7 linked regions of the Ovis aries genome follow. The protein of the gene in region 4 interacts with the protein of the main gene of each other region in a biochemical or structural test. Links are inferred from orthologs where the notes say so. Each region holds a gene or a part of one and is shown on either strand. Other genes may lie near its edges.

Region 1 (3,459 bases), on a different chromosome or scaffold from region 4:
GGAGGGCGAGGGCTTCCCACGGCCGCACTACAGCTGGTACCGCAACGACGTGCCACTGCCCACAGACTCCAGGGCCAACCAGCGCTTCCGAAACTCCTCTTTCATCTTAAACCCTGAGACGGGCACTCTGGTAAGAGCTCTGGGAAGAGGTGCGGTATGGGCGTCTGTGCTGTGGGCAGAGCTCCTGTGAGCAGACAGGAGACCAGAGCTACAGACCCTAATATCAGGAGCCACCCCCACCCCCCGCCCTTTATAGACAGGAAAGCCTGTAAGCGGGTGCAGGAGGGCAGGCAGAGCTGAGGGGACAGTAGCCAAGGGGAGTGCAGGGCAGCCTGCCCAGCGCCATCCGGAGCAGAGTCGGGAGGCAGTGGGCCTCGCTCACTGGCCACACAATGACGTTGCGACACTGCTGGTGTGTGCAGGCTGCTCGTGTCGTGGGCAAGACTGAGCCACATTGTCGTGTTTGGGGACAGCCCCTGGTGGGCAGGTGGGATGGCACTGGGTCTCCCTTCACTCCCGACCCCCGGCAGGTGTTCAGCGCCGTCCACAAGGAAGACTCGGGCCAGTACTACTGCATTGCATCCAACGACGCGGGCTCGGCCCGCTGTGAGGAGCAGGACATGGAAGTGTGTGAGTGTCTGCTGAGCCTCGACCCGGGGGCTGGCAGGCTGGTCATGCTCACTCTGTGGGGCGCATGGGCTCCCTGGAGTCTGCCGGGTCTGGTGGGAGGACCCTCTGAAGGACTGACCCACGGGTTCTCTGCTCAACCCACAGCTTTCACTGAAGTATCCTGAACTCCATTTCTTTGGTAACTGATAGAATCATGGAAACATAAGGTTGTGTAAGGTCTCTAGGTATTTACCCAGTCTGACCTTTTTGCAGTAAGCGGAAACTAGGGCTCACCACAGTAATTTATGCTGTTGGGGTGATTCTTCCTCTGGGCTGTCAGGGCTCAGTGGAGGGGGGCAGGGTCCAGGGCCCACCCCACCTGTGGAACCGGTCCCCAGGGGACTCCCCGGCTGCTGCCAGATTTGGGGAGCTGATCTTGGGCAGGAAGAAGATTCCTGGGCTGTGCCCCAGAGTTCCTGACCTGAGAGAGGGAGCTTGGAAACTGACGTTATGAAGTCAGAATTCAAGTGCATCTTTAAGTAACCATGTGCTCACGTCCAAGAACCCTGTGCCAGACAAGGGAGAATTGCAGCAGCCCCAGCCTGGACAGCACTGGTCGATAAACACCTGCGTGGCTTCCACTGTGCTGTTACCTGCACAAAGCGTGCAGCCTCAGGCCCCACACTGCAGCTCGAGAGTGCAGCTGAGGGTCTCCTTGAGGGACGGCTGGCGGCTGCAAGGCCACGTTCTTACCTCCTAGTTGCCCTTTTAATGGCCACTTGAAACTAAATAATCTTCAACAAAGAGAAGCCCTAGAAATTTAGGGGTTTTTCTTCCTCAGGACTCTGGCTCCTAGTTCTCCTCTGTAGGGGAGCCATTTCTCAGTAAGAAAGCTCTAGGATGTGCCCAGAGGCTTGTTACTCCCCATAGCGCAGGCCATGCTCTGTGGCTGCAGCAGCTATGGTGCAGCAGGTGGGTGTCACAGCCTGTGGGCAGAGCTGCTCCAGACCGGGGGCGGTGTTGGGAGGTGGGGGCAGCATCTTCTCACCCCTCGCCTTCTCCAGATGACCTCAACATCGGCGGCATCATCGGGGGGGTCCTAGTCGTGCTGACCGTCCTGGCCCTCATCACAGGGGGCATCTGCTGTGCCTATAGACGTGGCTACTTCATCAGCCACAGCCGGAACGGGGAAAGGTGAGCCTGTCCTGCGTGAACAGCGTGCCCTGAGCATTGCTATGGCCTGTCAGGCGTCACCCAGCTCCTCTGCTCTGTTTCAGCTACAAGAACCCAGGGAAGCCAGATGGAGTTAACTACATCAGGACAGATGAGGAGGTAAGGAAGCCTGGAGACGGTGACTCCAGCAGGGAAGATGGCATCCCCCCAAAAACCGGGCGGGTCCCTGGGAGAGAGATTTGAGTTATGTCCAGTACATGAGCCCCTCAGCATGCCCCCAGGCGGTGTGCTCGTGGGGCATTTGGTCTGCAGGCCTTGTGGCCATTCCCATCCAAGAGAGCATTGAGGGAAGTGGTGTCAGGCTCCTTTCCCACCTGCTGGCCACCCTCTAACCTGCTGTGTTGGCCTTTCAGGGCGACTTCAGACACAAGTCCTCGTTTGTGATCTAGATGGTGGCACAGCTGTGTGCACACGCAGACACCTCCATGGGGAACACTGCCAGGAGCAGCCCTGCAAGGGGCGCCGGATGGGGCTAGACACGCGCACAAAAGCTTTTGTTTTGGCCAAAGTTGACCGCTACTCCTTTCTTACTTTTTAACAAGCTACATGAATAAAAGAGTTTTCCTGGAGATGAGCAAGTCACCAGAAGGCGAGGAAGTGGCCGGGTTCACGAAGCCAACCCCGTGGGGTCTGCCGGCCTTGAGGTGGGCCACCTGGGCTCAGGAGGCATGGTGACCTGTCCCATGGTGGGGCCACGCCAGCATGAGCATCCAAGGCTGGCAGCCAGGGTCATGACCTGAGCCTTGGCTGCAGTGACGGGGCTTCACGGTGGCCCCGGGGCCACTTCATCCCCAGGCTTTGCCAAGATAGTCCTGGTGTCTACCCGGAGGATTCTTTTTGGGTAAGCATTTTATAACAGCAGCCCAAATCAGGACAGTAAACAGCTTGTTAGAAGGAGGGATCTTCTTAGCTGTGGGAACCCTGCTCATCTATAGAGGGTCCCAGCATTGGAGAGCCTTCATCTTGTGCTGAATCTGAAATGGTACTGACATGATGTTCTGCTTTTCTATGGGTGTTTATTTTATAAAATTTTACAGTCTAAATTTTTGCTAAAGATGTATTTTGATTATTGAAAATTTCTATTTAAATTGTAAATAAGTTGTCATATGCTGTTAAATACTGTATCTTTTTTGTTTTTTTTAAGTTCAACTTAAACTAGGAGCCCAAACTGCTCCTGTTCAATTGGAAACACCACTGGTGGCTTAGGAAACCTTTGAGAAAACTCCAGCTGAGTAACCTCATGGTCTATTTGTGTCTGTGCAGAAGAGACGCAGGGCTCCTGGGTGACCTTCCCTGGGCCTACCCCCACCCCTACCGCAGGCCCTAAGACACAGGTGCGCCAGCCACACGCCTGTTCGGAGCAGTATTGGCTCCTGAGTCTCCAGGCCAGCCCTCCTGCCCTCATCCACCTGATGCCACGACACAGGCCGTGGGCGGAACAGCTCTGACAGTGCCGTTCACCTGCCATGTAGGTCCACCCAGGATAGCGCCAAGGGGGCTGGAAGAGTGGGGTCCTCCATGTGGCCCCCCAGCCTGGCTTCCCTGGGCCCAAGTTCTGTGGCTGTGCGTGGCTCAGTAAACCCAGCAGCCCTGCTGTCAGGCCTTTAAATTCCTTCT
Region 2 (3,362 bases), on a different chromosome or scaffold from region 4:
AGGACCGGCTGGAAAAACTCCAGGGGAAGAGAATGGTGGGTGTGGCCAAGACTCTGACCCAGGCCTTACCCTGCTCCCTCCCTTCGCTGGATTCTGGCTTCAGTGGTTTCTTCCTTCTGCGGAAAGGACACTTGAGGCGGGACGAGACTGTGACTGCGGGGCGGGGGGGTGCCAAGGGCCCCGCCATTAAGTCATGTCCAGCAGAGATCGGAATAGGGGGCGGAGGAGACGGGTGCTGGGGCACCGCTTCTGGAAGCCAGGTGTCTGGTGCAGGCGACTGCGGTGAGGGGCGGTTGGGCGCTAGGCGGTGGCTCTGGCGGTGGAGACTCTAATTAGACGGCTGAAGTGGACAGTCCTGAGGGGTCCCCGGAAGGTGGGGTCGGCGAGGAAAGGAGACTGAAGAGAAAAACAGTAGAACCGAGGGTGGGGGCGAAAGTAGGGCGGGATAAAGAGCGAGTAGAAGCCGAGAGTCCCTGCGGGGGGAAGGCGGAGCCAGGGCTAGCCTGGGGCATCTCTCCCGCTCAGGCTCCGCCGCGTTCCTGGCGCACCTGTCCGGGAGCGGGGAAGGGATGTCCTTGCGCCCGAGGGACCTCCAGTCCGAGGGGCTTCCTCAGAACTCGGGACTCCCGAGAAGACTCCACCTCCCCCCTCCAGCGGGCCGAGCCCAGTAAGTGAAGGGGCGTGACGCTGGTGCTCAGGTTTCTTCCTCCACACCTGAGCCAGGAGGGGTGGGGGCAAGGACTTCCGGCTCAGGTGAGTGTCCCTTCGGTGACGTCAGGTCACCCTCGGCCGCCCCTCGATCACTCCCTGTCTCGCGCCCCCGACGCCCTACTTATACTCAGGTGCGCAGCACCTGTCCGCCCGCACCTGCCCGCTCACCGCTGAGCGACCTTTAGTTGGCACAGCAGCCTCGGGCCGACAGCCCAGGATACTCTGGGGACTTCCAGCACCCGGAGGCCGCGCCCGTACGGCCCCTCCACCTTTTGTTTCGGAAGAGTCGCCGAGCGCCCGAGGGAGCCGCCAGGCCTTCGCGGATCGCTTTTGTCGGTCACCAGTCCTGTTCCCCTCTGCCTTGAGACTCTCGCCTCGCCGGAGGGGTCGGTTTGTTTACTCCGGAGACCAGATTTGCAAGCAGTCGACCAACAACTTCTTTTTTGCCTCTTTGGGTGACTTAAAAACTCGCCCGCCAGGCGCCCCTCGTCTATTCTGAGGGCGGAAATGGCCAATTCGGGCCTGCAGCTGCTGGGCTTTTCCATGGCTCTGGTGGGCTGGGTGGGCCTGGTGGCATGCACCGCCATCCCGCAGTGGCAGATGAGCTCGTACGCTGGCGACAATATCATCACCGCCCAGGCCATGTACAAGGGGCTGTGGATGGACTGCGTCACGCAGAGCACCGGCATGATGAGCTGCAAAATGTACGACTCGGTGCTCTCCCTGCCGGGTAAGACAGCGGGACCGACGGGGCGGATGCTCCAGAGCCGGGGTCGCGGGGTGGGTGAGGGGCCGGGCTCGAGGCCCCACGGCCCGACGCGCTGGGTTGCGCGGTAGCGCGGCTGGAGAGGAGGAAGCGGTAGGGCTGAGGTCCTGGGACTGCACGTGCGCGGGTCCGGCTGAGCCCCTTTTCGCCCGCGGACGCGCCTCGTCTCCCGGCCGAGCGGCCAGCGGACCAAGCCGCTCCCAGTAAGCTGAGTCCTGGGGCGCGGCCTTCCCCTCCCCCTACCCCGAGGAGGCCAAGGTCTTCGCCATCTCCCGCCCTTTTCTCGGACAAAAGGCGGCGCGGGCTGGAGGCCGCGGGGTTGGGCTGGGGGCCGCTGGGTCGAACCAAGGGCCGAGGAGCCTCGCCTCCTGTTTGCCCCCTGGGCCGCCGCCTGCGGCTTCTAATCTTATCGGCCGATTAGCCGAAGCCACAAACCGTGGCCTCGATAGTGGGGTCAGAGCTGAGACGAGAGCCAGGACTGCGGGCGGCCCCGGGGCTGCAGCCACCGCTACCGGGGCTCAGGTCACCACCTCTGTTTTCCTTCGACGTCCACTTTCACCCTTCCCCCTCCGCGGGGGCAGTTTCATCGAAACCCAGGCGCCCCGGGCGGATCCTAGAGCCGAGAGGGCGGGGCAGAGCGGGAAGGCCACGGAGTCTTGAGGGGGCGGGACCCGCCGGCTCCGACCTGGGACTCGGGGTCTGAATCGGTCCGAGGGTCGCCCCGTCATTTCCAGCAAGGATGGCATCCTTACCCCTTTTCCGCAGCGGCCTTGCAGGCCACTCGAGCCCTAATGGTGGTTTCCCTGGTGCTGGGCTTCCTGGCCACATTCGTGGCCACGATGGGCATGAAGTGTACAAACTGTGGGGGAGACGACAAAGTGAAGAAGGCCCGGATAGCCATGACGGGAGGCATCATTTTCATCTTGGCAGGTGAGCCACAGGTCCAAGGTGGGGACAAGGACTCTGTTAACCATCCTGAAGGGGTAAGTGTGGACACAGTGCGGGTTTGGGGGGGTGGCTCACAGTACCTGAATCCCCATTTTTTCCCCAGGTCTTGCTGCCTTGATAGCTTGCTCCTGGTACGGCCATCAGATTGTCTCAGATTTCTATAACCCGTTGGTCCCCATGAATGTTAAGTAAGTATGAGAGCCCTATCTCCTAAGGGGTCTGGGGTTGGGAGAGGCAGGCCAGGGTTCATGACCGCAATCCCTTCTCTCCACAGGTATGAATTTGGTCCTGCCATCTTCATTGGCTGGGCAGGGTCTGCTCTGATCATCCTGGGAGGTGCGCTGCTCTCTTGCTCCTGTCCTGGGAGTGAGAGCAAAGCTGGATACCGTGCACCTCGCTCCTACCCTAAGCCCAACTCTGCCAAGGAGTATGTGTGAGCTGGGACGCCCCTGCCCCAACCTGGCAGCCTACAGGTGCCTCCTTATGAAAGGACCTGGGGCAGAGAGCTCAGCCTGTGGGCAGGGTGCCAAGCAAAAGCCTTCAGTCACTCTAGCCCAGCACACCATGTACAGTTTCCTGGGGGGTTGGGTGGGGGGGACAAAAAAGGGAGGGTGTGCTTTTTGTACAGTAATAAAAATGTTTTGGAAAGTAGGCTTTTTTTCCATCCCCTTCAGGGCATCTGCTTCCCTCATCCACTCCCAGCCTCCAGTCCTGTCCACTTTCGACTTTTGCTTAAATAGCAACCAAAGAACTTTTTCTTTTAATACAAAATAAAATATTTTATTAGGGTTGGGTGGAGGTGGTGTTCCTATCCTGTCACTTTCTCTTATGCCTCCAGCCCACTTCTCACTGGAAGCTGCTCCCTGGCTCATGGGTCACAGGGCAGGGCCTCCATAGAAACAGGAAACAAAGATGGAGCAGAGACAGGCTAAGGCCA
Region 3 (3,974 bases), on a different chromosome or scaffold from region 4:
AGGGGTGGGTAGGCTGTATTTCCATAAGGATGGGTGTGTGTGTTCAGTCAAGTCCTACTCACTGAGGTACTTTTTGAGACCCCATAATCTATAACCAACTCAGCTCCTCTGTCCATACAATTTTCCAAGCAAGAAAGCCAGAGTGAGTTGCCATTTCCTTCTCCAGGGGATCTTTCAGACCCAGGGACTGAACCCGTGCCTCTTGCCTTTCCTGCATTGGCAGGCAGATTTTTTTTACTGCTGCGCCACCAGGGAAGCTCAAAGGACATATATTTCGGTCAAGCTAAGATGTAGTTGGGCAGAGTGGGCTGAGAACCAGAGTACTGCATATGCTATCAACTTGCTCTATGGTCTTACGGAAATCACGTTTCCTCTCTGGGTCTCCGTTTCCTAATAAATAAAGTATCAACATTTCTTTTATGATTCTAGGAGAGATCTCGAATGGAAGAAAGGGCATTGGGAGGAAAGGAAAACGGGGAGGAGGCTGAACGGAAAGGGAGGAAAGTGTGTGAGGGAGGTTAGAGGGGTGGTGAGCCATAGAAATGTCTTTTAATCAGCGAGGAAAAAGTCGAAAACGAAACTGTGCGTCTCTTGAGGTCTTAATTTTTCATCTTGGCATTTTTTAGTGTTTAGTCATACTTAGTCATTTTTGGATAAATGTGGATTGAATGAACGGAAAGCCTGGGAAGGCTCACAGAGGAAAAGGGCAAGAGGAGAAAAGAGAGGAAATGAGCAGCACCGGGACACGATGCGTACCTGATCCTTCTCGCGTCCCCACTTGGCTGGCAGAACCTTCCCGCCAGAGTTCGGCCCCATCTCGGGCTCCCGCGCTCCCTCTCGCTTTCCAGCAACCCGCCCGGAAACCGCCAGAGGGCGCTGCGCTCCTGGGCGGCGCTGCGCTCCTGGGCGGAGCTGCTTTAAATCGCGGCGCCCAGCGGGTCTGCATCTCAGTCGCGGTCCGGGAGCAGCCTCAGCTTCTCGCCTCCGAACCGCAGCGCCGACCAAGAGGCGGACCCGGTCCCAGAGCTTCTCCGACGTCAGCGCAGGGGGCAGGGTTACCTGCAATAACTTCCTCCGCTAGGCTCCGTCACCCTCGGGAGTCCCGGGTGAGCACCTGCAAACTCCGCCTTGTGCACCTGCTGCCCCTGAGCCAGCGCGGGCGCCCGAGCGAGTCATGGCCAACGCGGGGTTGCAGCTGCTGGGCTTCATCCTGGCGTTTCTGGGCTGGATCGGCTCCATCGTCAGCACGGCGCTGCCCCAGTGGAAGGTTTACTCCTATGCTAGTGACAACATCGTGACGGCCCAGGCCATCTACGAGGGGCTGTGGATGTCGTGCGTGTCGCAGAGCACCGGGCAGATCCAGTGCAAAGTCTTCGACTCCTTGCTGAATCTGAACAGTGAGTGCCTTCCCCACTCCCCAGTTGTGGCTCAGGGTGGTGTAATGTTAATCGTTCAATCGTGTCCAACTCTTTGTAACCCCACAGACTGTAGCCCGCTAGGCTCCTCTGTCCATGGGCTTCTCCAGGCAAGAATACTGGAGTGCGTCGCCATTTCCTCCTCCAGAGGATCTTCCCCACCCAGAGATCGAACCCGGGCCTTCTTCATTGCCGGCAGATTCTTTGCTGTCTGAGTTACAGGGACCCAACCCCAAATGGCTCTCTTTTGGAGTAGTAGCTATCAAAAGGTTCTGTTGTGTGATTACATGTCTGTCAACCTTCAGTGGATCAAGTCTTCTGACCATGTGCCCCGCCATAAGGTAGTAGAGGGAACCGTGGTTTGGGGAAAGGGCCAACCAGACCTAAGCTCTAATTTTTCCTCTAACTCCCTAGGTGACACTCTTCTCAAGGTGTGAGTTTCAGCTTACATACCCATGAGTGGGGTGGCAATTGAGCGAGTGGGAGCCAAACTCGAATTTGAGCTCTTAGGCCTTTCCTGGACATTCTCAGATTCTGTGAAAATTGAAGAACTGTAGGGTTAGGACAAGAAAATGATGTGCCTTGAAAAATCTGGAGTCCGAAAGCTTCTCCAGCTTGTAAAATTAAATAGATAATGCCAGTTATTAGATATAACTTTTTTCTCTATCTTTACTATGAGTTATCATGAGAAGAAATCAGAGTCCTACATAGACTGTCTCAACCTAGTGTCTTCTCACACTTGAGTTTGAATCTCCTGATTCTTTTGACTTCTAAGATCCAGTTAGTGTGAAGGGGGCTTCCCCAGTGGCTCAGTGGTAAACAATCCGCCTGTAGTGCAGGAGACCTGGGTTCTATCCCTGGGTCAGGAAGATCCTCTGGAGAAGGAAATGGCAATCCACTCCAGTATTCTTGCCTGGAGAATCCCATGGACAGAAGAGCCTGGCAGCCTACAGTCCATGGGGCTGCAGATTCTCAGATATGACTGAGGGACTAAACAAGTGTGAGGAAGTCTTTCCCTCCAGTGACTCCTTGAAGAAGTAAGTCTCTAAAGATTCCCCAGAAGGTTTAGCTCTCAGACCAGGAGTCTTCAGAGGAGGAGATTGTATAGTCTTATTTTGGAAAGTGAAGGTGGGTGGCAGGTGGAAAAAGGATGAGAAGAAAGAGAAGTTCAAAATTACCTCTCTCCGTTATATAAAGGGGAAAATGAAGCTAAGGAGATACAGCTGATGAATGCAGAGATTGGGAGAGAGAGGGCAGGTCTTCTCTGAGTTTCTGTCTTCCACAGAGGAATTTCTATGTAACAAATGTTGGCTTCTTTCTTTCATAAGTTTGGACAGGATTATGTAGAGAGAAATAGTCCTAGATGTGATGGAGAGAAGAGTGACAGGATGGATTTTTTCTTTTATTGTTTTTTAAAACAAAAACTTCTGAGTGTTTTGTCAGAAATTCATTAAATTCCTGCTTACTTAGGTAACAACAATTCATGGCTAGAGTAGCTTCCTTGAGATATGACATTAGTTGTCCTGAACTTGTGTCTGTCATGCACTTGAACTAACTTGAATAAAAGCTTCCTTAGCCTTTGCCTAGACAAACAAGCCTGCCCACCAGTCCCCTTTGTGTGCTGACGGTAAGCAGTGTTCAAGTCGTCGCTCAAGTTTACTTCAGTTGCTTTGTCCACCTCCTGTGTGTGGTTTTGTCAAAAGCCATGCCCTTTAGAGTTGTTCACTCTGTTTCGAATCTGTTTAAAACTCTCGAGTACCTGTGGAATTTGTGAGTCAGTGTACACATGGCGGTTTTTAGTGTTGCCATCTCAGCTTTTCAGAGTTCCCATATTAGGATTCTTTCATACCAAATATAAGGAGTACATTAAGTATATGACTTTATATAATCATCGAATCTCCTCATGGATGGATAAATACGTGTAAGGAATTGTACAGCATCTGGCATGTCAGATTGAAGAACTGGCAGATGGAGATGGTTGTAAGGACAATTCCAGATAGATCTCTGATTCCTCTGATCAGAATGATTCATTTTCTTATTTTTAAGTATCTTTCAAGTTATGTTTATTCAGCTGCCCTGGATCTCAGTTGTGCCACTCAGGATCTTCAATCTTTTGGGGGGCATCTTGGATCTTTTACTTGTGGTATGTAGGATCTAGTTCCCTGACCAGGAATCGAACCTGGCTCCCCTGCACTGGGAGTGCAGTCTTGGCCACTGGACCACCAGGGAAATACTAGTAGTTCATTTTCAACATGTGCAAATAGACTTACCTTCCTTAAACAGCCAAATGAAATCAGATCAATCCATGTTGTAAATACCAAAATAGGTTATTCCTACACATGAAGATGTGTTAAAATGTTTTATTTTCATTTATACCTAACATAACTGTTATGATTTTTAAAGCTGTGGTGGAAGATCGGAACACTACCTTTCCTCTACCCATTTTGGAGATTGCTTTCTGATTTTTTTTTTTAACTCCATGTCTATTCCTATTTTCCTGTTGGTTAATGCCAGAGTTTATCAAAGGTGGGGCTGAGGCCTTTCTCTCAAAACTGACTC
Region 4 (3,500 bases):
AAATTTTCAAAGTTAAGATGAAACAAAGGATCACTTGCATCAAATGGAGTCAGCCACACAAAGTTCAGTGTGTTCTGAAGGGAAATGTTAGCTGTGTCATACTTACTTGATTTCTGTGGGTGTTAAGCAGTTCAGCATGCATGCTATCCAGCCTGGGGTGTGTAGCTTTGTTCTTAGACCCTGGCGTCATCTGTGTGAGCTTCTTACATTAGAAAAGATGTTAAATGTCAAGGGGTTCTAAGGGTCCAAATACTTTGACAAAGGTAAGAGGGTGAGCATTTAAGAGACTGACCTTGAAGTCCCTCCTTCCCACGTGGCACACTCAGTGCTGCTTCTTGGCATTCTTCTTGGTTTTTGTTCTTTAAATATAAAAGCAGGCTATGCTAGGGAGTGAAGAGTTGTTTGGTGTTCTCCCAAGGCAAGAACAAACTTGCCTGCTATCACTGTTTGAGCTTAAGGGGACGTAGTGACTTCTGGTCCACTTGTCAGCGTGGGGCGCTGTGAAGGGGGCAGCACAGGGCCTGAGCTCTGAGGCCCTGCCCATCGTCTTCCTGTTCCGTGCTGCACCCTTCTGTTTGCTTGTCTACTGGGCCTCTGGTTGCTTTACTTTTTCGTGGATTTTGCTGGGTTACAAGCTACAAGCTCACCTGTGCCTTTGTGGGTTCCTATGTTGTGTGTATTCTGGTTCTGCCTCTGGTTGAGCCCTGACTGGGGGCGAACTTCATTCTGAGAATGGAGTGTAATCGCACACAGGCACAGGTGGGCCCATACCTGAGCAGAACAGACTCACAGTAATGAAGACAGACGTGGATGTGTTACGAGGAAGTCGTTTACACAGTGTTGGTAAGCAAGTCCTAGGTCAGCAGGAGAGGGAAATTTGGAGCCGTGTCTGAGCTGAGAGAGGCTGTTGTGTCCTCTTAAAAAGCTTCCCATCTAGATAGTCTCTTTTGGGACCCCTGCAGTAGTAGTGTTTGAATCAGTAACTAGGACTGTTAACTACCAGGACTGGTTCAGTGTAGCCAGGTTGAGACATGGACAGAACATGAGGTAGAAACATAGTTCTGTTTGTGGCAGACTTAGATTGACTGTTTTCTTTGACTTTGCTCTTGTGCTGGCTTTGCCACCACCTAAATTTCTTGGCTCTTAGACTAGCTCTGACTGCTGGTCCAGGAGCATCCGTGTAAGACACTAGTGTGAGCTACGCCATGCGGGCCCTTCGCAGTGCACACGTGGCTGACTTCCTGTCCTCCTAAGGGTGTAGTTTTTTGAGTTGACCATGCGACTGGACCGTGACCAGAATCTGTGACCATTCCAAGTTCTGTGCTACCGTGTGTGCGCGTAAAGCAGGTGCAGCGGGGCTCTGCAGAGCTCAGGTGGCAGCACTGCGATTCTGGGTCCTGTTGTAAAGGTGTCTTCTTTGTGAATTTTATGTATTCCCATATGAACAGTTGGCAATCTGAAAAAAAAAGCATACATGGCACAGTTTGATTTAAATGAGTCTTAAAATCAAGCAGTGTTTGCTCCTCTAGGAATTGCTAAACAGAGAATGGATCTGGTAAATCAAGGGCAGATTTAAAGACCACAGTGTCCATGTTACTGGACACAGCAGAGTCCTGTCCCTTAAATGCTGCTTTTGGCTGCTTTTGGGCAGAGTTTGAGGAGCTGTGAGAGAAACTGTGTGGCCCAAGAAGCCGAAACATTTCCTGCCCAGCCCTTAGCAAAAACGCCTGCTAGCCCCTGCTTCATCCTCTAGTGCCCAGCTGGTGCCTTAGATGCAAAAGCAGATGGGAATCTAAGGAGGATTTGAGCCAATAAATGTTTCGTCAAAATACTTACCAACCATTGCAATTTTTTGTGAACAACCATCTTCAGTATTATGAGTGTACCGAAATTTCATCTGCCATTTGGTTGCCATCTTCTGGATGTCTTACTAATATTCTTACTATATCTGTGGTGTTTTCACCTCTCTGGGGCTGATGATGGCTTAACTTAGTTTGTGTATTTTGGTAGAGTACCCATACTCATAGGGAATAAATTGTGAAATTCTCAATTGAAAGCAAGCAACTTGGGGATGCCTAGAAGGATGGGAGCTTCCTTGGTAGTGTGCGTCATCTTCAGGTGCTGATGTGTCCTCATTTTTCACAGGGGGAAGGCTGCTGAGGCTGAAGCTGTGGACAGGTCGTTCGGGGAGAAGCGCTATGACCCACTGCAGGCGACGCCCCCACCTCCGCCGCTGCCCGCTCAGTACAGCCAGGGTGCTCAGCCCAGCGCCAACACAGCTCTTGGCCTCCATGCACACACCAAGGGGGCTCACGGTGAAGGTAGACGGCTCAGGAGTGGGCAGACAACTGTTACAGTTAGACTTATGAGGCTAATGTTAGACTCGTGCTTTCTAAGTAAAAGTGGGTTTATGTAAGAAAGACACACTTGAATCCTATGGGCTTAGGACAGTGAAAAATAAGGATTTTGTTAAAAGTACATCTTTTTCATGACTGTTGCCTTTTAGCTAGATAGAGTTTATTCTGCCTAACACAGCTCAATTTCTGTACGTGGAGTTTACCAGTATGTCCAAAACTAAATGAAGGGTGGTTTGTAAAAATCATGGTGACATCCCTCCTCACACGAGGTCTCTCAGCAGGGCCATCTTGGGGGTGTCCCTGCGTGTCTGCCTGTGTCTTGTCCTCCACATCTGTGATCAGTAAACTGTCTCCCTCGCCCAAGGCACTGCCCCCACCCCCCTTCCTGCTTCCTTCAGCTTCCTCCTGCGTCTCAGCAAGTACACCTCTCCTGAGCCTCCCGCCATCTTTCCAGCCTGCAGCCTAGACACCCTGGGAGGGCCTGTGGCCCCACCCCCACCCCCTGTGGCGCCCTCCCAGGACACACACGGCGCACGTCTCGTCGTACGTCCCACTGCTGCAGACGGTGCTGCTCTATAGTCACCGGTGTCCACTCCCAGGGCTGTGATTCGATAACACTGTATGCTAGGATTTTCTTTTCACACGGTCATGTCTGCAGACAAAGTTTAACTTTTTACTCTCCAAACCTTATGCCTTTCTGTTGTTGTTTTTTGCCTCTCTGCAATGGCTGGGATGTGCAGTGCTATGTGAATAGAAGCGATAATAGCACACCTCTTTTGCTCCAGCTCCCACTTTGGGAGAGCAGATGGGCAGTGTGTGACTTCTCTGGGTGCCCTTCCTTCTAGTTTGCTGAAAACATTCTATCAACTGACTTTATGTGCAGTTGTCCTTGGTATCTGCAGGACGCCCCTACTCTGCATGCGGAGCAGAAGTCCCTGGTGGGACTGGTGCAGTACAGCGCCCACCCCCCGCTCGGGCTGCACATCCGAGGATACAGAAGGCCAAACGCACTGTAGAGGATCCTATGATTTATTTCCTTTATTTTGTCCTGTGATAAGTTATATTACTATGCTCACAAAAAATTTTCTTGTCCTTGTCTGGTTTTGGTATCAAAGTTGTACTGGTCTCTTGAGAGCTGGGACA
Region 5 (4,046 bases), on a different chromosome or scaffold from region 4:
CTCAGGAGAAAGGTCTATGCTGGAAACACAGATTTGGGAGTGCCAGGGGATGGGTAGGAGGTTACATCATGGGGATGGATACATTTGCTCAGGGACAGAGTGTTGATTGAGGAAAGGATGGACTTTCAAATACTCACATTTAAGAGATGATTACACTAAGAACAGTCTTGAATAAGGCTAAAATTGAACAGCCAGATTTTGGTGGGTTGAAAAACAAGTGGCTCAGAGGGTCTTGAGGTGGATGGAAGCAAGGATGTGCCCTTGACCCTTAGTGTCTTGAACCTTGGTAAGAGTCAGGGGCGCCGGTGGGGGACGCTCCTTGAACACTTGAAAACCCTGAGCAGCTCTGTGATTCTAAAGGATTGACTTGGATGACTGCCTCTTACAAAGTCCTCCATTCTGGAGCAGCTGCCTTTTCCTCTGTCTACCTTAGTGTCCCTAGCAGATAGCCCAGGAATGTCAGGGCTCCCTCTAGGCCCTGGAACAACCTTCACTCTTGAATCCTCCCACAACTCCTGAGAGGCCTACGGGGTGGTGGCACAACTATTAAGAGAGCAGACAGGAAATGTCTGGGTGTGTGATACATGTGGGAGGCCTCAGGCTAGCCTGTGGAGGAGGACTGGGGCAGGACTGGAAGGACTTGAACTCTGAGAGTGTGGACAGATGCCCCGTTGTCTGCCCCGACCTGCCCTGGAGTCGACTTTAACCTTGGACAGGGTGACCCAGGGCTATACCACTGATCTCTAGGCTGCTGTAGAGTCAAGAGGCCTCTGAGAACATAGAGTCCAAGGTTATATTTAAGGGTCTGTTCTTCCTGCTCCTTTGCCTTGGAATTTGGCCCCAAGGTACAATTGAGGGGCCCCGTGGCACCACTGCTGGGCAATGCATTAAACCGTGGGCCTTGGAGACAGAACCAGCTGACAGCGTGATCTGGAGTTAACATAGTCACCACAACCGACCCTGCCGTTGCCACCTTCTCGGAAAGCAGCCACCTGTCTGGCTCTAGGTTTTGTCTGGCTGCCAATATAAAGCATGTGCCTACGCAGGAGCTGATGACATTTTGGCTCCACTTTCAAAGTTTTTTTTTTCCTTTGTTTCTCATGTGTTTTTTCTAAAGATAACAAAGGTCAAAAGGCACCCAGCATTTTCTGGTTTCTCATAAGCTTCTGGTCAATATTTAATCTGGTTTATGGATTTTTTTTTAAGTCTTCTAGATGCCTTCTTGAGCCTGCTTGTGGCCACCCACAGACACTTGTAAGGAGGAGAGAAGTCAGCCTGGCAGAGACACTGTGAAATGAGGGACTAGAGGCCGGGATCCAAGGAGCCAAAGCTACAGCCAGCAGACAAGGGAGCCTGCCCTGAAGCCGCGTGTGAGAGGTCTGCCATGGCCTCTCTTGGCCTCCAGCTTGTGGGCTACGTCCTGGGCCTTCTGGGGCTGTTGGGCACCCTGATTGCCATGCTGCTCCCCAGCTGGCGAACAAGCTCCTATGTTGGTGCCAGCATTGTGACTGCAGTTGGCTTCTCCAAAGGCCTCTGGATGGAGTGTGCAACACACAGCACAGGCATCACCCAGTGTGACATCTACAGCACCATGCTAGGCCTGCCCGCTGACATCCAAGCTGCCCAGGCCATGATGGTGACGTCCAGCGCCATGTCCTCCTTGGCCTGCATTGTCTCTGTGGTGGGCATGAGATGCACAGTCTTCTTCCAGGAGTCTCGAGCCAAAGACAGAGTGGCGGTGGTGGGCGGAGTCTTCTTCATCCTTGGAGGCCTCCTGGGCTTCATCCCTGTTGCCTGGAATCTTCACGGGATCTTGCGAGACTTCTACTCCCCGCTGGTGCCTGACAGCATGAAATTTGAGATCGGAGAGGCTCTGTACCTGGGCATTATTTCCTCCCTGTTCTCCCTGGTAGCTGGAATCTTCCTCTGCTTTTCCTGCTCACCCCAGGGAAATCGCTCCAACTACTACGATGCCTACCAGGCCCAGCCCCTGGCCACTAGGAGCTCTCCAAGGCCTGGTCAAGCACCCAAAGGCAAGAGTGAGTTTAACTCCTACAGCCTGACAGGGTATGTGTGAAGAACCAGGGGCCAGAGCTGGGGGTGGCGGCTGGGTCTGTGAACACCAGTGGACACCCTCCTCTCCCAGGCCCACAGGTGAGGGATATTGGCACTGGATCGTGTCAGAAGGTGCTGCTGGAGATAGACTGACTTTGGCCACTGGATCAAACAAAGGCAGAAACAGGAGCTGGTGTGACAGCATGCGGGTTAAACTGTCAAGACTCTTGCTAAGCCAGACTTTCTGTTTCCTTCATCTTGGCACCCTCCACCCCCCAGCCCTCGAATACCCAACCCTCAACTCCAGCCACCCCCCACCAGAAGCCAGGCCCCAGCATCTACCCTTTACCCTTTGATTTACCTGGGAGTCCATCCAAAAGCCCACTAAGTACGTCCCACTGACTGACCCTCTCTGTGATCAAAGACCCTTCCTCTTGCTGAGGTTGGCTCTTAGCTCATTGCTGAGGGATGGGGGTGGGTGCGAAGGGGTGGTGGCTCCTGTGGGCATGGCGCTAATCTCCTTTGCAGGCCTCCCTCCAAACAAACTGATTGGCCAGTAATGGGCCCTGGAGCCTCCTCCATCCCACTCTTATGACTCCACATGTCTAGACTCAATGTGTCTAACTGAATGTGTATGAACTGAAATAAAGCCACCCCACTGTACTGAGGGAACAGAGAGCAATGGGGTGGAGGATGAGAGGGCAAGGACCAAAGCTGAGGATCAAAAAAAAAAAGAGGCCAAAATCTCGGCCCAGGGACCTAGCTCCCAGAGAGAGGAAAGCACAAGGAAAGAACGTGCGACAGAGCCCTCAAGGCGGCAGCAGGTTCTGACTGTACCGAGGCGCTCCCTCAAAAGCTACAGCGCCAACTTGCACTGAAGCCCCCGTCTCCCTCTGACCTGGCGTCCTGCTAACAACAGGTGAAAGGGCCTGCACAATGGTTTCTGTAGAGAAAGGAAACTGGTTTGGTTTAGAGATGGCCCTTGGCTGGGGGTGACAGCCTGGGAGCACGGGTGGACACGGGTGGGAACTACAATGAGTGTTTCTACTGGGCCAGAGAGAGGCAGCCCCCGGGAGAGTCTTCAGGCTTAATGGAGAAGCAGTCTGGAGACTGAGATCAGGCCCCCGAGGTCTGCCCACAGAGCACAGTAGCACCTCTGAAAGACCACAGCCCCAGATGAGCCCCTGTCAGTCACCTTCCTGTTCTCCCCACCATCCTTTATCAGACATGGTGGCATTGCTAGAAGGCATCAAATGGCTCCAGCACGGAGTCATCCTGACCCAGGTGCCGTGGCCCTCATCTGAGTGACAGCTGAATTGCCACCTGGGATTTTGGTTGAGATGGAAGAGTAGAGGATTCCCAGGCAGACAGTTTCAGCTCCAAGATTTCAAAATGCCCCCTTTCCCCTGGGGGTGGAGGTGGGAGTGACAGGCACAAACAAACCAAAGGCTTGAGCATGACTAGCTTCTGACAAACTCCAGTACACTGCCCTAAACCGCAGCGCCAGCAGGAGGGGTCCAGTCATTGCCTGGAACATGTCTTTCACAGTTCTTGCCTGTATTTAAGCTCCTCTCCCAAGCAGGAAGGCCCTCTCTCCTTAGCTAAGTTTTCCTCATGCTTGGAGAAGCTGCTTGGCACCGCTTCCTTCACCGAGCCTCCTCTGACCACTCCGTCCCTCTCCTACCCCTCCATCCTCCAACCCTCAATGTAAAAAAATCACTCTTTGATGCTTATTATTCACAATGTTTGATGGATAATTATCTTTCTATGTGTATGTAACCGATTTCACAAGTACATTGTAAACTCTTGAAGGGTAGGGTCCATATCTTAGCCATGTGTATATTTCCCAGACTGTCTGTAAGAGTGCTGAGCACATAGTAGGTGATCAATAAACACTTGTTGATTGAACAACTGTTTTATTAATTCTAATTAATTCAGACAGGGCAGGTATGACTGAGGGAACTGGGCGAAGGGGAGGGTAGAATAGAAAC
Region 6 (3,947 bases), on a different chromosome or scaffold from region 4:
GTACTGTTTTTTAAAATCTCTATATCTCTATGAACGACTCAGATTTTTTGGCCCATTAAATTTTCAAAGTTTAACAAGTGAGCAGGAAACACACCCTTCCATACCCTGAGTTAAGCTAGTACAAGGAAGCAGAGAAGTAAAATTGTAAACAAAGGATCTTTTTAAAATGCACAAATGAAAGGAAACTAAAGTTTGAACTTTGGAAAGACAGGACAGTGTATTCAAGGTATTCTCCAGAAGAAAACTGCAGGTGGAATTTTTCAAAATCAACACGAATGTTTAATTCCATTGCTGTCATCATTATTATTTTGAGACGAAAAAGTCCAAAAATCATTTACGGGCTTCTACCTCCTACTGTAAGGAAACAGTCGAATACGACAGCACAAGGCACATCCCGCTCCTCTTGAAGACATGGTATTAAAGACGTGTAATTGACAGATTTAGCTGATTTGCTGAATATAGTCACTTTGTCATATAAATTTTTATTTAGAAATATCAGCCATTTGTATAGACCTAAAACTTGCACCAGTTGCAGAATTCTAGTTGCTTAGGTATAAGAAGACAGAAAAGATAAAGCTATAGAATGAGATAACAACCTGAAAGTCAATCCATCATTTAATTACTATTGTGAGTACTTGCTACATAAGAATCCAGAAAAAAAAAAAAAAAGCAGAAGAAAGTCACATGGATTTTTTTCTCTTGTTTTGTATTTCTTTTTCCTTATAAATTAAGATTATCATGTATATACCAATGAGTGGTTTCCCTAGCTCAAAAGAAAACAATATGTGCTTGGTGCCATGGAGGAGGACAAGAGTATGTATTTAATTACTTTAGCCTTATTTTGTCCCTTGGCAAGATCTATTCCCTGATTTCACCCCAGTCAAGCTTGCTTTGAAGTCGCTGACAAATTAAATCAACCACTTGGATCATATGTGTCCCAAAGAATGTGGTTTCTCAGGTATGAGCAATCTATCAATCCCCTGGTCTCCTTTCACTTTGGCATTCTGACAATCCTAGCAAATTCTCAGGCAAAGATTGCAGCTTATGTTTTGGCCACAGCAGCCCTTACTCAAAGTTTCAGAATTGCCAGTTCAAGGTACAACTTTCACATCTCAAGGGACTGATACATTTCTTGACGATTGCGCAAGCATTCTTAATTATGCCTCCAGGTAAACATACTGCTGTCTTCTTGGACAACTGAGAAGTACAAAGAATGTTTATGTGCAGGTCCAGTTCTTCCAAGTATTTCTTGTGGGCTTAGACACACCTGAGTTACCACCCCCCTCTTATTGGCTGAGAAAGTTGCCCCACCTGATTTGTAACTTTACCCGCCACAGTCAGTAGCTGGGGGCACCTCCGCCAGCCAACACTGGATTTAATCTAGTTAGAAGTAGCCAGGCAGCTCTTGTTTGAAAAAAATCACTGAGTTCTGAGTTCATTACTACAGAAAAACTGCTCTCCCTCGGTGCGCAGAGAACCTGGCTTCAGAGCAGCCTCACCAGCTCAGGCGTCTGGTCGGATAAAACCCAACCTGGAGGAGAATGGCTACCTACGCCCTGCAAATCGCCGGACTGGTGCTCGGTGGTGTGGGCATGGTGGGCACAGTGGCTGTCACAGTCATGCCTCAGTGGAGAGTGTCTGCCTTCATTGGAAGCAATATTGTGGTCTTTGAAAACCTCTGGGAAGGACTATGGATGAGTTGCATGAGGCATGCTAACATCAGAATGCAGTGCAAAATCTACGATTCGCTGCTGGCTCTCTCTCCGGACCTACAGGCAGCCAGAGGACTGATGTGTGCCGCCTCCGTGCTGGTCTTCCTGGCTTTCATGACGGCCGTCCTCGGCATGAAGTGTACCAGATGTACTGGGGACGACGACAAGGTGAAAGGTCACATTCTGCTGACCGCTGGAGTGATCTTCATCATCACTGGCCTCGTGGTGCTCATCCCCGTGAGCTGGGTTGCCAATTCCATCATCAGAGACTTCTACAACCCAATAGTGGATATTGCCCAAAAACGGGAGCTGGGAGAAGCGCTCTACATAGGCTGGACCACGGCCCTGGTGCTGATGGTTGGAGGGGCGCTGTTCTGCTGTGCTTCTTGCTGCCATGAAAAGAGCAGTAGCTACAGATACTCCATACCGTCCCACCGGACAACCCAGAAAAGCTATCACACCGAAAAGAAGTCGCCGAGTGTGTACTCCAAAAGTCAGTACGTGTAGTTATGGCTCTTTTTAAACTACCTAGGAAGCCACACAGATGACATAGATGTCCACTCTTTCCAAAACTGAGACCCAAAAGAACATTTGATTGGCTGTTCTTAACCGCCTGGTCTTAATCACAGGAACTAATTACATCAGCTCTTTATGATTCTATAATCGATTTCAGCTGAATGAGAAATTGTACACATTGCTAGGATTATTCTAGAAAGAACAATTTGTTTCCTAAAATGGTTCATATTTTTTCTCCTTTTATTAGTTACTTCAAAATGACATTGTTAGAGACAATTATTTTACAACTGTGATTTCTCTGACAGAGCGTTATGTATATAGATGAGTGTGACATTTCTGTGTCACATACGTAGAGATGGGTTTATACAGTCTTATTTTAAATGAAACACTGATTCATTACACTGAATAAATAGAATTCAACTATTGCTTTTCAGGGGAACCAGGGGTAAGATTGAAGAAGGTTAATATTAATTGTTTAAAAACAACTTAGTGATGAATGCACTTGATTTATAATGAAGGTTAAAATGAAAGCTTTAATCAGCAGGGTAAAGGGAACTAAATGGCTTTTTGATATCTCATTTTTCAGCCTAGGAGTTAGAAATCCAAATTCCTTTCTCCTCATTCTCCAGAGGCCTTCCTTTTCTTGTATATTAAATGGTCATCTTTTAAAAGCCAGATATTTTGTCAAGGGGCTTTGCATTCAAACTGCTTTTCCAGAGCTATACTAAGAAGAAAGATAAAGCTATAGTCTAAGAAATATTAAAGACTTCAGGAAAGTGAAGATTTTTTTCCTCAAGTTTTTGTGGTTGGAGAAGGGTACATTTTGACAAGAAATATTATATATATATGAATATTTTAATAACTATTTGTATAGAGACTTTGGACTTTCATTAATATAAATAACAGAAGAGAAAAATTCTATACCTTTATTTGATTACCAAAAGAATGAAACCAAATTGTCTTTTGTGAACTGCATCTCCTTATATGTGGACATTTAAGTCAAAATTATGATTTCAGTTTTCAAAGGTGAAATTTTTATTTGTTTCAATTTTGTTCAGTTTTACTAAGGTACAGGTATACTATATCTTTATGTTTCCCCCCAGATTTGATTGAACTGTTAATCTGATTCGAAAGTCTGTATACACATCTTTCTAGCTTAATTGACTATGTGTATCTGCTTTATGTCCTTTGTATTAATAAATTGTGCTTTTTATATTAATTTGATATCTTTCATTTTTCTTCAGTTTTTAAATATTTTAATAACTTGTAAAGAGTTTTTAAAAACCTGATATTTTCAGCTTTGCAGTTAAAAAAGGCTTTCAAAATTGCATTTTAAAGATAAAGATAGATTCAGCATTAATTTTTGAGAATAGAGTATTATATATCATTTATATATCATTATATATCATATATATCATTTAATATGATATACTTACAATGATTGGATTCACACACTAGTGTTTGATGTTGATAATATATTTGTAATTTTTAATGTTGATAATATATTTGCAAATACTATAGGTTCCAAAAATCTATACCCTGCATATATTATTATGTATGTAATAGCTATTTATGTACAAACTTTCCATAGGGATATATAGTCCTGCCTCTGAGAAATAGTATTAATTAATAATAGTGCATAATGTTTTAGGGACATGGGTTATAAACTAAGACCTCTACTGTTTTAAATGAATTATATCACTAAATCTCTTATAAGAC
Region 7 (3,500 bases), on a different chromosome or scaffold from region 4:
CAGGAACGAGACTTAAAACGATGGAGAAAACTATACAACACACAGAGTGAACTCTAATGTAAACTGTGGCCTCGGTTAGGAATAGGGTATCAACGTCGGGTCATTACTTGTATTATGTATCAGATGTAACATGTATCACACTAGTGCATCATGCTAATAATAGAGGAAACTGGGGTTGGGGAGGAGGTAGGGGCTGGGGGAAGGGCAGAGCTTCAGGTTAAATGCCCCTCCAGCAAACCTAGCTCTGTGTGGGTCACTCCAAGAGCAGAGGAAGGGGCTTTTAGCTTGACCGTGTCTCCCACCCTTATTCCCCACCTCATCCTCCCGCCCCAGGAACTGCTGAAGGATGGGAAGAGAGAGACCACCGTTAGCCAGCTGCTCATCAACCCTACAGACCTGGACATTGGGCGTGTCTTCACCTGCCGCAGCGTCAACGAGGCCATCCCCAGTGGCAAGGAGACGTCCATTGAGCTCAACGTGCACCGTGAGTAGGGCCCCCGGGGGAGGCGGGTGGGGCCGGGCGGGTCAACGAGCACCCTGGGGGGTGGCACCCTTTGGGAAGCACAGAAGAATCCCCCAGGGGCCCCGGGACAGATGCTCCGTTCCTTTGACCTCTTCGAGTTCCTGCTTTGAACTGTAGGCTTTGAGAGCTGGCACAAGAGGCATCAGCTGTGAGCCAGGCAGTTCCCGGGTTTAGACCGTGTGACTTTGGGCAATGACGTAATCTCTCTGAGCCGTAGTTTCTAATTCTGAATATGTGCAAAAAATAAAACGCAGGCCTACAGCTCCTTATCGGAAATTCCAAACCAAAAGTGATTGGGTGGCAAAACCTGAACGGAAGCTCTTTGTAGTCTTTTATTTAATAACTCAATAGGAATAGCCATACATTTCACTATTAATGTGTGTTTCTATGGGATGTTGCCCAGATTCTGCTGGGGGTCTTACACAGTAAATGGTCTGTGGTCATCATAACCTTTCTAGCATTTGAAAATTTCCAAATTCTGAAACACATCTCATTCCAGGGGTTTCAGATAAGGGATTGTGATGACCTATACCTGCTTCTCAGGGTTGTGAGCGTTAAGTGAGATATAGTGTAAGAGCATCTCACATGGAGTATGCTACTGGGTAAGTGCTCAATAAATTCCCACTGCCCAAGAGTGGAAGTGTGGGCAGCAACTGGAGAGACGCCCCACCCCCATCCTGGCTAGTGAGCCTAGCGAACCCACACTGACGCCTAGTGGTCACAGTTGGTCACTACACCATCTGACTAATTTGTCCCTTTGGTATCATCCTTGGTCCTCACCCTAGCCGGCCCCTAGAGGCTCCTGGAATAAAGGTGAGGAAAGCTTATTTACTGGAGCTGGTACACTGCAAACTCAAATTCCCAGATCACCACACGGGTGAGGTCTCAGTGTATGTGCTAGAGAGAGAGAAGAAATTTGAGGGACAGAAAAGATCCTGACCTGCCGTCCTCTGCTTTGCAGACCCCCCTACGGTGACTCTGTCTATTGAGCCCCAGACGGTGCAGGAGGGCGAGCGTGTCATCTTTACGTGTCAGGCCACGGCCAACCCGGAGATCCTGGGCTACAGGTAGGAGGGGAGGGGCGGGGCGGGGGCATACCCTGGGGAGGGATACTGGGAGGCCCTTGAGGTCCAGAGTGGGGGACTGGGGAAGACAGGCCGCTGGATGTCGGGGAGAGGGCTCCAAGAGGGCTCCAAGGCCTGACCCTGCTGTGTTGCCTCCTCCAGGTGGGCCAAGGGGGGCTTCCTGATTGAAGATGCCCATGAGAGTCGCTATGAAACCAATGTTGATTATTCCTTCTTCACGGAGCCCGTGTCCTGTGAGGTTCACAACAAAGTGGGGAGCACCAATGTCAGCACTCTAGTCAATGTCCACTGTGAGTAGCTGCAGGGGCAAGGGCTTTAAGGGACCTGGGTTGGGGTGGGGGAGGCTCTGTGGGGCTGAGAGACAAGGCAGGAGGATTGGAATTGCACCCCCCCCCCCCACCTACCCGATGAGCTCAGGACCCTGATGATCTGTTTCTCCCTTTCTACCTCAGTTGCCCCTCGGATTGTAGTTGACCCTAAACCCACGACCACAGATATTGGCTCTGATGTGACCCTCACCTGTGTCTGGGTTGGGAATCCCCCCCTCACCCTCACCTGGACCAAAAAGGACTCAAACATGGTAAGAAGCTCTCCGCCTCTCCTGAACCCTGGGCGGTAGAAGCCTGGCCACAGGTTGGGAAGAGAGGGGCTCAGGGGGCACAGCATTCTTTTTCAAGTTGAACCTGGGATATTTCCAAGTTCTCTGGATTTGGAAGAGAAGGACGGTGCTTGCAGTCAACCCCACCCTTCATTGGCAGACAGCTGGCTGCTTCAGTGGCAGTGAGAGGGACAGTGACCTGTGGGTGGGATGGGGAAAGGGGGCCGGACTGGAGCTGCTGCTTTGGCAAGATACCTGGTCAGTGAATGCTGCATAGGAGGGTGGAGTGGCCAGGGTGATGCGCTAGAGAAGGCTGAATTCTACAGCTCTGCAGAGACCTACTGGAGAAGGCTCTGGCACCCCACTCCAGTACTCTTGCCGGGAAAATCCCCATGGACGGAGGAGCCTGGTAGGCTACAGTCCACGAGGTCGCAAAGAGTGGGACACGACTGAGTAACTTAGCAGCAGCAGCAGAGGCCTATATGGGACAGTTTGGGCCAGAGTTGCAGAAGGAGGGATTTTAGAGGGAAACTTCCTCATTTGGCAAGAGAAACACTAAGAGAGGCCACCAGCAGTGGCTGCATCCTCTTTTAAAAATCACGGCAGCTTCACCTGCCCTCATGCACCTCCACCCAGGTCTGCCCGCTCTTACAGAGATGCTGTGTCTAAATGCTAACCTCTTTAGAGTCAAGGGATGGACCAGATAAGATTCGGGACTCTGCTTCCCTTCTGGGAATTCACTTGTGGCCCTTCCTGCTTTCTTTCCAATGCCTCCAATGTGGGGGCCCACACGGATCTAGGGGCCCAGGCCTCCTGGCTCCCCACCCGAGGCTGCTCTCTCTGCCCAGGTCCTGAGTAACAGCAACCAGCTGCTGCTGAAGTCGGTGACCCAGGCCGATGCCGGCACCTATACCTGCCGGGCCATTGTGCCTCGGATCGGAGTGGCCGAGCGGGAGGTGCCACTTTACGTGAATGGTGAGGGGCCTGAGGAAGGCGGGGGGTGGGGGGGTGCCCAGGGGCGGGCTGCTGGAGGTTCCATCTGGGCCCTGACCCTGTCCTCTTGCTTGCAGGGCCCCCCATCATCTCCAGCGAGGCCGTGCAGTACGCCGTCAGGGGCGACGGCGGCAAGGTGGAGTGTTTCATCGGGAGTACGCCACCACCAGACCGCATTGTGAGTGGGCCAGGCCTCGGGCCAGCTGCTTATTTCCCTACCTGCCTCAGCCTCCCCTCCGGCTTTCCCAGGCTCTTCCTATGCCCTGCGCTTCTCATCCCCTGACTCTGTCCCTCTCCCTGC

The links.
Region 1: the proteins of TJP1 (region 4) and JAM3 form a complex in vitro, tested with the Homo sapiens proteins (2 studies listed by BioGRID and IntAct, with this or other methods). The link is inferred for Ovis aries from reciprocal best matches to the Homo sapiens genes TJP1 and JAM3.
Region 2: the proteins of TJP1 (region 4) and CLDN7 form a complex in vitro, tested with the Homo sapiens proteins (2 studies listed by BioGRID and IntAct, with this or other methods). The link is inferred for Ovis aries from reciprocal best matches to the Homo sapiens genes TJP1 and CLDN7.
Region 3: the proteins of TJP1 (region 4) and CLDN1 form a complex in vitro, tested with the Homo sapiens proteins (2 studies listed by BioGRID and IntAct, with this or other methods). The link is inferred for Ovis aries from reciprocal best matches to the Homo sapiens genes TJP1 and CLDN1.
Region 5: the proteins of TJP1 (region 4) and CLDN2 form a complex in vitro, tested with the Homo sapiens proteins (2 studies listed by BioGRID and IntAct, with this or other methods). The link is inferred for Ovis aries from reciprocal best matches to the Homo sapiens genes TJP1 and CLDN2.
Region 6: the proteins of TJP1 (region 4) and CLDN8 form a complex in vitro, tested with the Homo sapiens proteins (2 studies listed by BioGRID and IntAct, with this or other methods). The link is inferred for Ovis aries from reciprocal best matches to the Homo sapiens genes TJP1 and CLDN8.
Region 7: the proteins of TJP1 (region 4) and KIRREL1 form a complex in vitro, tested with the Homo sapiens proteins (3 studies listed by BioGRID and IntAct, with this or other methods). The link is inferred for Ovis aries from reciprocal best matches to the Homo sapiens genes TJP1 and KIRREL1.

What each region holds. Positions count from the first base shown.
Region 1 is NC_056074.1:30,404,147-30,407,605, reverse strand, and holds the end of JAM3 (junctional adhesion molecule C), read left to right. Parts: coding exon 1-130; intron 131-530; coding exon 531-630; intron 631-1,673; coding exon 1,674-1,803; intron 1,804-1,886; coding exon 1,887-2,025; 3' UTR 2,026-2,195; coding exon of another isoform or gene 2,196-2,231; 3' UTR 2,232-2,959; downstream 2,960-3,459. UniProt on the Homo sapiens protein: Junctional adhesion protein that mediates heterotypic cell-cell interactions with its cognate receptor JAM2 to regulate different cellular processes. Plays a role in homing and mobilization of hematopoietic stem and progenitor cells within the bone marrow.
Region 2 is NC_056064.1:26,860,628-26,863,989, reverse strand, and holds CLDN7 (claudin-7 precursor), read left to right. Parts: upstream 1-1,218; coding exon 1,219-1,441; intron 1,442-2,242; coding exon 2,243-2,407; intron 2,408-2,528; coding exon 2,529-2,613; intron 2,614-2,699; coding exon 2,700-2,862; downstream 2,863-3,362. UniProt on the Homo sapiens protein: Plays a major role in tight junction-specific obliteration of the intercellular space.
Region 3 is NC_056054.1:197,851,246-197,855,219, forward strand, and holds the start of CLDN1 (claudin-1), read left to right. Parts: upstream 1-1,174; coding exon 1,175-1,397; intron 1,398-3,974.
Region 4 is NC_056071.1:26,237,855-26,241,354, reverse strand, and holds part of TJP1 (tight junction protein ZO-1), read left to right. Parts: intron 1-2,145; coding exon 2,146-2,321; intron 2,322-3,500. UniProt on the Homo sapiens protein: TJP1, TJP2, and TJP3 are closely related scaffolding proteins that link tight junction (TJ) transmembrane proteins such as claudins, junctional adhesion molecules, and occludin to the actin cytoskeleton.
Region 5 is NC_056080.1:128,411,158-128,415,203, reverse strand, and holds CLDN2 (claudin-2), read left to right. Parts: upstream 1-1,246; 5' UTR 1,247-1,384; coding exon 1,385-2,077; 3' UTR 2,078-3,966; downstream 3,967-4,046. UniProt on the Homo sapiens protein: Forms paracellular channels: polymerizes in tight junction strands with cation- and water-selective channels through the strands, conveying epithelial permeability in a process known as paracellular tight junction permeability.
Region 6 is NC_056054.1:126,338,464-126,342,410, forward strand, and holds CLDN8 (claudin-8), read left to right. Parts: upstream 1-1,339; 5' UTR 1,340-1,541; coding exon 1,542-2,219; 3' UTR 2,220-3,447; downstream 3,448-3,947.
Region 7 is NC_056054.1:108,440,894-108,444,393, forward strand, and holds part of KIRREL1 (kin of IRRE-like protein 1), read left to right. Parts: intron 1-333; coding exon 334-484; intron 485-1,484; coding exon 1,485-1,590; intron 1,591-1,749; coding exon 1,750-1,898; intron 1,899-2,060; coding exon 2,061-2,188; intron 2,189-3,006; coding exon 3,007-3,181; intron 3,182-3,276; coding exon 3,277-3,377; intron 3,378-3,500. UniProt on the Homo sapiens protein: Required for proper function of the glomerular filtration barrier. It is involved in the maintenance of a stable podocyte architecture with interdigitating foot processes connected by specialized cell-cell junctions, known as the slit diaphragm.